2 linked regions of the Drosophila melanogaster genome follow. The protein of the gene in region 1 interacts with the protein of each later gene in a pairwise test. Each region holds a gene or a part of one and is shown in the gene's direction. Other genes may lie near its edges. The genes, in order: CG14443 and Zcchc7.

What was found.
Region 2: the proteins of CG14443 (region 1) and Zcchc7 interact in a two-hybrid assay, tested with the Drosophila melanogaster proteins (one large-scale study listed by BioGRID).

Annotation. Positions count from the first base shown.
Region 1 is NC_004354.4:6,632,052-6,636,717, forward strand, and holds CG14443 (uncharacterized protein), read left to right. Parts: upstream 1-1,907; coding exon 1,908-4,118; downstream 4,119-4,666. UniProt on the Drosophila melanogaster protein: Probable ATP-binding RNA helicase.
Region 2 is NT_037436.4:16,843,735-16,851,680, forward strand, and holds the start of Zcchc7 (zinc finger CCHC-type containing 7), read left to right. Parts: upstream 1-1,651; 5' UTR 1,652-1,766; coding exon 1,767-1,775; intron 1,776-1,833; coding exon 1,834-2,155; intron 2,156-2,492; exon of another isoform or gene 2,493-2,562; coding exon of another isoform or gene 2,563-3,249; exon of another isoform or gene 3,250-3,266; intron 3,267-3,426; coding exon 3,427-5,580; intron 5,581-5,642; coding exon 5,643-5,842; intron 5,843-5,900; coding exon 5,901-6,038; intron 6,039-6,100; coding exon 6,101-7,946. Other genes in the region: TSG101 (tumor susceptibility gene 101), read left to right, coding at 58-404, 473-659; kud (kuduk), read right to left, coding at 891-1,127; CG32161 (uncharacterized protein), read left to right, coding at 2,563-3,249.

The DNA of each region.
Region 1 (4,666 bases):
TGGCCGCTTTGTTGTTGTTTTGGTTTTGGTTTGCTTTTTTTTTTTTGTGTGTCTTGTTGTTTTTTGCTGCTGCTTTACGGATTCGTATCGCCAACGAGATCGCCTTGCCCCCTTTGGGGGGTCTCCTGCTGCGTGGATCTCCTCTCGTTTCTTCCCAGTGATGTGTGTGTGTGGATTTTCTTCGGGGAACATAGCCGAGAATTTATGCCCAGTGCAACATTAGTTGCATAGAAATGTGTTGTCGGCGCACAAATTAAATAAAGTAAGTTAGTGTTGGGCAATGTCGTTATGGTTTAGTAATACTGTATAGAGTGACCTTAAATGGCAGTAAATAAGGATATTTAAAAAAAAAAAAACTTTAAAACTTTATATGGCACATTTTGTGGAGCATTTTTCATCGATTTTAGCTTGAGACTAACTATTTTTATAAGTAATCCACCAACTTGGTAACTGGTCACGTGTTTTTGTACGCTTAGTGCCGATTAGCCACTACCCCAACCACTATAGCCACACACAGCGATCCCAGCAGCAGCAGCGACAGGCACAGCCACAGCCTCACCTGCACCAGCACCTGCACACACATGCCCCCCCCCCCCCAATCCTCGAGTGCATCCATGGATCCATAGACAACTCCACCCCGAGGCGAGTGCTCGAGCTCGATATGGTGATGGATATGCGTGCAGCATAATCATGAAGTCGCTTTGATCTTCTGTCTGCGCTGTCTCGAAATAAATGAAATGACTCAGACAGGGGAGCATAAATTTTGCACTGGTGGAAAGTGTGGAGGGGCTGGGTAACTGGGGAGCTGCCGGAAATGTCATAAGCATAAATATAATTTTTTGATAATTGTGTGTGTCGCGAAGCGTTAATGGAACTTTAATTGAAACTCCGGACTGATTGGGATCTTAAACCAAAACAAATCTCTTTGAATGGCCAGCAATTCTAAAGGCGATGCAATGCAATTTGATGTCTTCATCGTTTCAACAACGAGCGTAATTACGACTTGATGGCCACATTAAATGAAGGGTGGTCTGAAAACCGGGTCGCGGAGGGGTGTTCCGTACTGTTGGCCAATTAGCCAAAGGAGATCGTTAGCTGTCCGACGATCATTAGCCTTAACGAGCTGTACAGCCAATTGCTTGCCAATTTATCTAGTTAATTATACGGATTTTCTATAGTTAGAACTCCTCGCATATGCATGCATGTGTACTTTATATTATTTATTCATTTTTTGTTTTTTAGTTTTATGATTTTTATTTAGAGAGATGGTAAAACCCTCCTCTGAATTCCGCATTGAGCAACTTTGTTGCGGCGTTTTTGGTTTTTTTTTTTTTGGATTTTGTTTTGCTTTCGTCGTCGGCTAATTGAATTTGATAAAAAAGCCAGCGAATGCTTTTAATTGACCAAACATTCAGACACTCACACTCGCCAATTATACGGCAGATAACCCACCCAATGTGGGTCTTTCGATTGAGTAAGAGCGCTCTGAACTTCCGCCAGCGGAGTACAAACCCGTATCCGTATCTCAGTCCGGAACTGGAACAGTCTGCACTCGGGAAATTAAGCATATTGAAGACCATAAAAAGTCCACTTAAATTATTAATCTTCCAGATTAATACGGACTCAAACCTCAGTTCATGCCCCTTAATAAGAAATTACATTTTATAACATTACATTTTATTAAGAACAATAACAAACACATATGGGAATTTTTTATTTCATTAAATTTAAATGTATTTAAATTTACCAACACTAAGAGGAGGACACACTGAAAATTAACCAACACCAAAGCTTAGAGTTGTCAACTTTTTTCATAACACGTGGCATTTCGCTGTGTTCGTAAGGAGATTTTTTTATTGCCTTGGCAAAAATTGGAAGTGAACAAACGCAAATAAGTGCTGCAGAAAATGTGTGAGAAAGCTAAGAAACTGGTGATTGGAAACTGGAAAGACAACGAAACCGATGCAGAAAAGGTTCAGAAAAAGCCGTTCCTTAAGGGTACGAAGTCTTCGATTTGGGGCTCCAGCGCTTCGGACATAAGCGGTCAGTCCAGATCTTTAAAATCCTCAAGCTCTGTCTTGTCCTCCAAATTCGTTACGAAAAGGCTTTTCACAATACAACACGGAATTGAGGGACAGAAACCAAATTTCAAAATCAGGAGCGAGAGTTTCAGTGGTCCGCATTCTGCTGGCGGATTTTCCAAGTCTACGCGCGAATCCCGGTCGAAAAGCAGGAGCATGGGTAATGGCAAGTTTAGAGGAAAATCCCATTTGCGGTCCAGTTCTGAGTCTGCTCATTCTTCCGGATCCGAATCGAGTTCATCCGATTCCAATTCCGGCTCGTCATCCGATTCGGATTCCACTACGGGATCAAGTTCTCACGGTAGCGATACGGGAGAGAGGCCACGCATGCGAAGCGCTGTTTTTCGCATTCATGAAACTTGGCAATCGCCAAATTCTTTCAAGGCCGTGAAAACCTCTCGTGAAAATAAAGAATCAAGAAGCAGGAGCAGCAGTCTACCGCAAAAGCGCTTTTGTCCTTCGAAGACCCAAAATGATCTGACGTACGGGAGTCCAGAACCCAAAAGTCCGTCCAATCGCGGCCGCAATTCGTGGAGGGTCGGAATGCGCACTCCCTGGAAGAAGAGTCAATCGAGGAGCATGAGTTGCAGCTCCATTCAAAAGATTTTGGTTAGCCGCTCCTTCACCAGAAGCCGCAGTCCCCATCGGAATACTTTGTGTTATCAGGACCAATCCAAAAACCCAAGCCGCCCTAGTAATTACAATACCTGGAAGCAGCCGATGGATGAGGTGTATAATAATGCCGCTAATTATCGGAAACGCCACAATATCACCTTGACCAGCTGGAATATGCGAAACCTTCCGGAGCCTGTGCTGAGTTTCGAGCGCAGCGGATTCAATGCAACCATATTACAGCAACTGGAGGATCAAGGCTATGATGGGCCCACGCCCATTCAGGCACAAACATGGTCGATTGCCAAGGAGGGCAAAAATATTGTGATGATTTCTGGAAAGGGTACGGGTAAAACATTGGGCTATCTATTGCCGGGCATAATGAAGATGCACAATCAGCGCGGATTAATGCAGCACAAGAAAGGACCGATTGTCTTGATATTGGTGGACTGCCGTGAGGCTGCTGTCATGGTCCAAAGAGAGGTATTGTACTATACAAATCCTCTCGAGCTTAGGACGCATTGCCTCTTGGGCAACAGTCAATGGCAAGGTCATGCCGAATGCGATCTGCTGGTGGCCTCTGCTGGTCGCCTGCTTCAAATGATTGATAACAAAAAACATGTTGTAGAACTGGAACGCTGCACATATTTGGTTCTGGACAATATTGATCGCATGATTGATGTGGGCTTAGAGGGTAACATTTGCCGACTACTATGCCGTCTACGTCCGCATGCCCAATTGATCGTCAGCAGCACGTCGTGGTCATCTAATCTGAAACGGATGGCCAACAAGTTTTTGGGCCAATACACCGCAATTCGCGTGGGTGAAATAAACAATATAGGCGTGCGATTACAAAACATCCGCCAGCGGGTGGAGGTAGTCAATGGGCTATCGAAAGTAGAACGCCTTATGAAGGAGCTGACTGCTATTTACGATACAAGCGATATTCCCGGTAAGGTGGTGATCTATGTGAAGCGCCAAAAGGTCGTGGAAGAACTGGTGGATTTGATCCGGAATTGTGTACCCTGCGAGGGCATCCATGGTGGACGCACTGCCCAAGAAAATCAAGGAATAATCCATGATTTTGGCACTGGCGCCTACAATATCATTGTGGCCACGCAAATGACATCGAACTGCTTGGATGTGCCAGGCATTCGTTATGTGATCAATTATGATTTCCCGGACAACATTGATAAGTATGTTCAACGCATGAGCAGAACGGGATGCCTGTCGTATAACCGTAACTGCGAGGTCATCAGCTTCTTTACCATGGCAAACTACAAGCTCGTGACGGAAGTGGTCGATTTTCTTAAGATCTGTAAACAAGAAATTGGACCGCATCTTCTTCAGCTCGCTGAAGAAAAGATGTTTGGTCCCCGTCAACGAAGGCGCCATCGTCCGCAACGCTACAATCGCATGCATTAGGGTCGATATAGCGGATATATATGTTATTGGCAAACATTTTGATGGCTTAACTAACTTAAATTGTTAATGTATAATGGATTTAACCCTTTAAATGTTTATTGATTTAACTAGGCCAGTTGAAATGGTTTTTTTTTTTTTGGGAGGGGGGGGGGGACTAAAAAATGGGGTAATGACGAATGGGAGGCATGGATGGCACGTCCGCAAAGAAAGTTGTGCATCCAGAGCTCAGAAGACGTGATGTTATGCAAGTGAAGTGCAGCTAAGTAAAATGCATGGCAGGCGCATCAATATTCAAATACGGTTTCAGTTCATACTAAATCCCTTATGATATTTACATGTGCCATTTATGTATTTATGCGTACCTTAAAGTTTTAAGAACCGTCATAGGATATTCAAACTTAATACGTTTTCTATCGTTATAAATTGTGAAAATCCGCCTAGATCTCGATCCATATCGAATCATTTGGGCTTCTGTCACCAATTCGCTGGTTCGCCTACCGTTCAAATTCTGACATATATGGGTCAATATTTTCTATACAGCCAGTCAG
Region 2 (7,946 bases), on another chromosome or scaffold:
GTTTTAGATTATTATCCAAAAATCGACTTCTTAATGTTTAAAGCTTATTCTTTTCAGAATCCCTCAAATCCCAGTTCCACGGGAACTATTACCGAGGAGCACATCAAAGCATCAATCATTAGCGCTATCGACGACAAGCTGCGCCGCCGAGTTCAGGAGAAAGTTAATCAGTATCAGGCCGAGATCGAAACTCTCAATCGCACCAAGCAGGAGTTGCTCGAGGGCAGTGCCAAGATCGATGCCATTATAGAGCGCCTCGAGCGCGAACATATTGATATGCAAAAGAACATAAGTATATTAAAGGACAAGGAGCAGGAGCTGGAAAAAGCTCTTGAAGATCTTGAGAGCGCCGAGGCCATTAACCCCGACGAGGCGGTGACCACCACAGCGCCACTTTACCGACAGTAAGTTGAATGTCTGCGTGCGCATTCCAAGATTCATGCTAGATAATTAATGGTTTATCCACCCGCAGGTTACTCAATGCCTATGCCGACGAAGCGGCCACCGAGGATGCCATATATTACTTGGGCGAGGGTCTCCGCGGAGGTGTCATCGATCTGGAGACCTTTCTTAAGCACGTGCGACAGCTATCCCGCAAACAATTCATCCTACGGGCCACCATGCAGAAGTGCAGACAAAAGGCCGGTCTAGCGGGCTAGAAGAGCCATGATTTCAACAGTTGCCGTGATTTCTTATTCGACGGGGTAGTGCGAGCACGTGCAGACGATTTATATGTTACCATCAAAAATATTCGATAAGTTTTAAGCGCAAATTGAATCTTAAAAATTGAAATTATAATAACAATAATCCTAAATAAAACAAAGGCCTCATGTATGTTAACGCCCACGATCAGATCTTCAGTTTATTTCTATGCGGAATGGTGTCTTATCTCATACGTAAATACCGACGGTTAGAAGCAGGAAAACAATGCCGAATCCCAGGAAAATGGAGGCGCACAGGCTAATCAGCAGTTCCTTTATCAAGGTGCTTTCCTTAGAGCTCTTTCGAGACACCACAAAGATGAAGAACCAGGCGGTGAAGAAGGTTCCGATGACCAAAAGCACGGTGGCGAGGTGGGGAAAAACGGCCGGGTTCACGGGCGATACGTAGCGCTGCATTACGTCCATACTAGAAATAAGATGATCCGGTTAAGCTATTAGTTTAACACACTTGCGGCACTCTTACATTGAATTTTAGCTTTAATTACTTCTTGTTATTTTTCGACGCGAATTGTACGTGGCCCGGCAGCTAGGGTTGCTCCTCTTGTTATCGTTATCGGAGGCACCCACAATTGACTGCCAGTTTACACGTATCGAAACGAGAAGTATCATAAATTTTTTTTTTTTGTAAATTTTTTTTTGGTTTTTTTTGGTTTTTTTGGTTTTTTTTTTGGTTTTTTGTAAATTTTAAATTTTAATTTAACATTTTGAGAGATAAAAAACTCGGAGTGGAAAATTATTCATTTTTATTTATAATGCCATAGTGAATAATTAAGTGTTAATTTTAAAACTTAAACCAAATTCGAACCGTTCGTTGATGTAAATTATTTATTTTTTGCCAGCTAGTAGAAGTACTGTTGTCAGATTTTTTAGTTTACTATTCGATAGCAACATTTTCCGATAGCCAGAGTGTCATCACTGCCTCGATTGACATGCTCTCTCCAGCTTGCCCACCACTGCCATCAACGTGCTCTCTTTCATTATATTACTTTTTATCAATGCGCAGGAAAAATAAATCAAAGGCAAAGGAAAACAAAGACGCGCAATATGAGTGATGTGAGTGTTGGCCCAAATACCCGTTATTCCTACCGATCTAATGCATTCCAATCCGCAGCTTGAGGAGATGGACAGCGAACGGCTGAACGAGCTAGAATCAATTCTATATGCCTCGATCCACTACAGCGATGGATTCGAAGAGCACACTGCCATGGATCAGCCTGCGAAGGAGTCAACCAGCGACCAGGATGCCAGGAGCATGCCACCGCCTCCTCAGCAGAAGCATCCCATTCCCGGACAGCGTTTCGTCAGCGGAACACGAGTGATCAACAACAGCATGCAGAAACCACGCTACTGGATCGATGGTGCGGCAGCTGTGGGGGAGGGGCAGGTGGTGCAGGCGGAGGAACAGCAGGCCACCACAAACAAAACAATGCCAGGTGAGTGGCAACCATTGGCAAATGGTATATATGAAGTAATAAAAACCATAAGCTAGCATAAAAATATACCCAAAAATGTACCCAAAAAAGGTAGGATCCAATAAGATCCAATATCTCACAAGTTATTAGGTAATTTAAATCATAGTAAATATAATCATATTTAATCGGTCGATTTGTAGCTATAACTGTTTAAAACTCAAAACAAAAAAAATTAAACGTGATTCATAATCTTAGGTATTCTTAGCTAGTTCATTTGTAGTCTTTTAGTTCCGCCCCATTTCATAGTAGTCAAGAACATTTCCTACTTCCATCAGTGGGGATCAGCCCAGCTTTTGGGCATTAGGCTGCTTTCATCCTTTTCAAAACTATTTCGTTGGCGTGCTTTCAAAATTCTCCATAACCTTCCAATGATGACCTGCTTCCTCAGTCGCTTTCTGGGCCTGGGCAGGTGCGGTCTGCAGGTGCTCGAAAGGCGGATGGGCCATTTCAACCATTGCACCTTGGCCCTGGCCACTCTCGACCTTGTCTGCATTGTTTGCCTGCTCCATTACCAACTGGCGCGGCATGGCCGAGATCTGTTTTTTTGGTGCGAGGAACTGGACCAACGACTAGTGGAGTACATGCTATCTGCAGTCGTATTGATGGCCAGCGTTAGTGTGCTGGGCTCGTGTGTGGATGGCTTTATCTTCTCTGCCTTGGTTCAGCGGAAAATGAGTCGGTTTGATATGCCGCGACAGTATTTTGAAGATCGTTACCGCAGATTCGTCTTCATGCGGCTGGTCAGGCAACTAGAGCAGGCTCTCAAAGTGCAGGCTAAGCAGTCTGAGTTGGGCGAAAGAATGATGACGCCACTCGCCAATCTGTTCGAGGCGCAGCAGCTGATCAAGGAGGCAATCGATGAGTTTCGCACAGCGGTGCGAGTCCTACTGTGGCCCAATCGATCCGATGTGCTGGCAGAGGCGTTTGTCCTCTTCCACATAAGCGAATCGCAGTTGTCGGATCTGACACTTCAAGGCTACAGGCTGAACGACGTCGAGGGGGAAGACATGTCCAATTCCCGTCTTAGTCAAATGCTTAACCCACTTTGGTATTAAAATTGGTGCTATAGTTCAGAAACTGCATTTTTAATTTGTCAATGAAAATGTTGGGTTGTATCAAAAGATTTGGTTTATTCTTAAGAATTTCTGCTAATTTGCTATTCACATTTATTCATATCGCCTATACAAATAAATATAAGAATCACATTTTAATTTATGGTTCTTGTCTCTTAGCTGTTGAAGAAAGTTCCTCATCACAATCGATGGATGTCGATATGCCGCAAGACAAGAGTCTATTGCTGTCGCCCGAAAAGGGAACGTCCAATCAACCGAAAACTGCTAGCCAGCCCCCGAAACATCAGCAAATCCCACAGGCCAAGCAACAGCAAAATATTCATGCAAAACAATTGCAAAATCAACAGGCAAAGCCTCAGGAGCAAAAAAATTCACAACAGAAACAGCAGCAGAGTCTTAAGCAACAAAATCAACAATCCAAGCAGCACCAAAATCAGCAAAAGAAGTCGGCGCCAGTAGTACAAAAACCAAAACCGCAGCCAAACGCATCCACCAAAGTGAATCACGAAGCCTACGAGGCGGAGCGTTTTGACCAGAGACTTCTAGTCGCCATCCCACCGAACTGCCCGCCCAAGAAGCAGAATAAGCCACAACAAAACAAGCAACAGCAGCAGCAAAACAAACAGCAGCAGAAAAAGCAACAGCAGTCGCTGCAACATAACAAACAGCAGCAGCAATCAGGACCTGGACCGTTTGGCAAAGCCAACCGCAAGTTGGAGCAGATTCAGCGTCTGGCAGATAAGAAACAGAAATCCAAGCAGGCTCAGTTAAATAAAAAACAGCGAAAGCAGCAGTCTCCGCCGGTGGAGTTTGTCAACCTGGCAGAAACAAGCGAATCTTCCGATGACGATGATGTGGTTCATGTACCACTTCCGCCAGCTCCTATCATCGAATTGGACACGAGTGACGGCGAGCAGACCTGCACCTCATCTCAATTGTTTCACGAAGAGAATGCAATGGACGCCACAGACGTGAAAATGGGATTGTCTTGTATTACTGAACCAGAGGGGACGAGTGTTGTTGCTAGCAGTACCACACCACCCATGCATTCACCGAGCTGTTCCGTCATGTCCAGTGATGACTTCATAGTGCAGAAGGATACCACTCGCTTGTTGACAGAATGTGAGAACGCCAATGATGAAGATCTGCTGGTACTAACCGAGACGGCTATAAGAGAAGCTATTGGCGAGGAACCAAAAGATAAGGAAGTTGTGGAAAATGCATCTGAGGAACAAGAACATGATCATGCGGCTGATACCTCGTCGGAATATGAATTTGTTCCTCCTTCACGACTGGAGGAAATTAAGAAAAACTATCGCGTCGACGATCAGCAATTCAGAGCTTTAGACGTCTACGAAAGTGAGTCTGACCTCACGGAAAGTGGCATTTACTCAAAAGCCAAGAGCAAGACCACGCCAACGATCATACGCAACGTAGACTCATCATCGGGCAGCTCTTCCGTCGAGGAGGTAGTGGAGCCTAGTGTCCAAAAGACGAAGCGTCTGCGCAAACGCTCCTGTTCAACAAACAATCACAGCCAATCTGATCCAAACAACGACGATGGGTTGGATGATTCAGACAGCGATGATGGCGTTCATGCTACTGGAGTTCCTGGCATAGCACGTGGTATGGCAGTGGAGCGTTGTAAGCGCAAAATCCGTAGAATCAGTACCAGACATAGCTCTGATGACAATTCGAAGAAGGCGGCTACACGTATCCAAAAACCGAAAGTTGCTGCAGTCCATCATGCTAGCTCAGAATCTGCGTCTGAGGATGAGTTACCAAGTGCCAGAGATATAGCCGAGCGACTTCTTAATCAACAGCAAGGACAAGGAAAGGTGCAGGTACAAAAAGGCGATGGCGATGACGATGCCATTTCTATCGGATCCGATGAAGATTCCCATGCAGAGGCGGAGTTTCGCGATGCTATGACAGATCGATTAGCTGCAGTCTTCGAGCGTCTTGATGCCAAAGCCAAAAAAATGGAAGAGGACGAGGAACAAGTGAATGCGAGTGGATATATATCCGATGAAGAAGACTCGCGAGACAAAAGTGCAGACACCACTGTGCGTTCCGACGAGGATATTGATGCTTCTAACGATCTTGAGGAGACGAATCCAGATAAGAACGACAGAGACGTGACAAACGAAGAGCAGCACGTACACGTGGAGCACAATTTGCAAGAGCTAAGAGACGAAAGTCTGCCCAAAAGCGGAGACCTCATTGGCTGGAACGAAGAGATGCGCAGCTTCTACAATGACAGTTGGAATGGGGAAAACTTCTCTGTTCACAAGGTCCAAAGAATGATGACAGGTGATGTTACCTTTAGTAGTTAGTAATAAGCGAATGCAGCTATTAACCTACTGTAATTGCAGGGCATCGCCACGAGTGGAGGATCAACACCGCGGATAGATGTCCGGTAGCACGACCCCGCTCCCATGCTAAGTGCTCCAACTGCTTTGAGATGGGACACGTTCGATCAAAGTGCCCGCGTCCCCGCAAGCCACTTGTTTGTTTCATTTGCGGAACCATGGGTCATGCCGAGCCCCGCTGTCCCAATGCCATTTGTTTTGGGGTAGGTAATTGAACTACTTCAACTAGAACATACTAAACAAGTCCTTTCAATTTTCTAGTGCGGATCAAAGCAGGAAATTTACGTGCAGCAGTGCAACAAGTGCTCCTTTCACAGCCGCCTGGTCTGCCAGCTGTGCAAAATGAGAGGACACGGCGTGGATCACTGTCCGGATAAGTGGCGTCGCTACCACTCAACGGTAATACCTATTAACCATTCAGTGCAGAAATCAATGCAATCCTCATTTTTCTTTGCCAACAGACTCGGTCAAATACTGAGCTGGATAGCCGGGTACAGTATAGGAGCGTACAGTGCAGCTACTGTGCCGGTCGCCATTCTTTCGAGAACTGCCGACAGCGGATTGGTGACTTTCGTAGCACGAACTATACAAGCCAGATTGTGTCTCACCAAAAAATCTACAAGAATCGCGGTGGCCCGATAGGTAATCTTGGCGATTTAAAAAGCTTTTTTGCTATTGAAACTCCCTTCCACTTTAAGTGGAACAATCCGAGTATGCCGAAAAATTGCTATTATTCAAGGTTCCTTGTCAATGCGAACTTGGCAAAAGTCCAGTCAGTCAAAAGGAAGTCAACTACTGCAGTATCGCAGATTCCAGAAAAGATTTATACCCACGAATATGTGCCCAATGCTCAGGTGAAGGCAGCTCGAGGGGAGGTATCCACTGGAACGGCTAAGAAACCGCTCACAAAGCAAATGCCAGTTGTCGAGTCAATCGCTGAGAACCGAACCGCAGAGGAGCCAATTGGAAAGCTGAATCGTGAAGACGAAAAATCTAAAGATATACTACCGCTCCCAGAGGTCCCACCGGAAGTGAAGCAAACTCAAGATGAGAAGCTTGTGGAGGGACAACCTAATCAAAGCCAACCCGATGAAGAGCTACCCATGAAGGATGATGATCAAGAAGAACCATCGTCCTCTGTGCAGCGTGAAGAGATTACCACCAATTTCGACAATCCACCAACGGAACCTGGCCTAAGTAGAACACCATTGGCGCCCCATGAGTTGGACTCAGATTCGAATTACAGTTTTTCCGAGCACTTTGAACTGCCCAGCTCGACAACCAGTGATGGTCAACCCAACACCCAACTGCCGCTCGTCCGCACCATGGGGACTCTACCCGATGTCATACCCCTAAGTAAAGACGATTTTGAACTATCCTCTAACGTCCAGGGAATTTCCATGTGTGTTAACTCCAGTAGCACCAGTTTACGCACTGACGAAACGCCCGATCCGGACTCCAGTGAAGAACTGCCAGATGTTCCAAGCGAGGGCAAAATCATTATGGCGCGCGAAGAATCCGAGTACCTGTTCAGTGCGGAGGGCCGAACTTTTCTGGCGGCAGCCGCCAAACAGTGTCATGTAAGCGTGCGGATGGACTTTAAGGACTACGGTTATGTACTGGTGATATATGGCCTTAAAAAGCACCAGGAAGAGTTGCAAGTGAAACTGCTTCGACGCAGTCAGGAAGTCAAGCGCAAGAGCATCGAGTTCCAGAGCCAGAAACCCCCCAAACGTATTGATGTGCTGATCCGCTTTCTGCGGGATGGAATCAACAGTCTAAACACCAATCTAGGAAACGCCAAGAGCCACTACGTGCGCATCAAGGAGCTAGAGGGGATGAACACCAAAAACGGTTTTAAGATGGCAGAAAAAAAGCGCCGCCAGCTTAACATGATCCTCGTCGGCCAGGCGGGACTCCTGAATGGCAAAACACATCTCGATCAGTTGCTAGTCTTATTGCGTCGCCTGATCGATGACTTCTCGCCAGATGAACACGCCACGCCACAGTTGCGCAATGAGATCGAGGAGCATTGGCGAATGATCTTCTCGTCATATCCGCATCCGAATTACGACTCTCTGCTAAACAGCTATGGACGTTTGGATCAAAAGAATCGCTTGCCCTCGTTGCACATAGATCCTGTGCTGTTGGGACTGCAACAAAAGAAAACGCAGAGTCAGCCGCAATCGCCTAGTAAGGGGCCACCATCGCCAACGCCTCTCCCACCAGTTCGGCAGGACATGGCTCCACCACCACCTCCTAAAATGTCAAAGAAGAAGCAACGTCAAGCCCTGGATCAGCAAACAC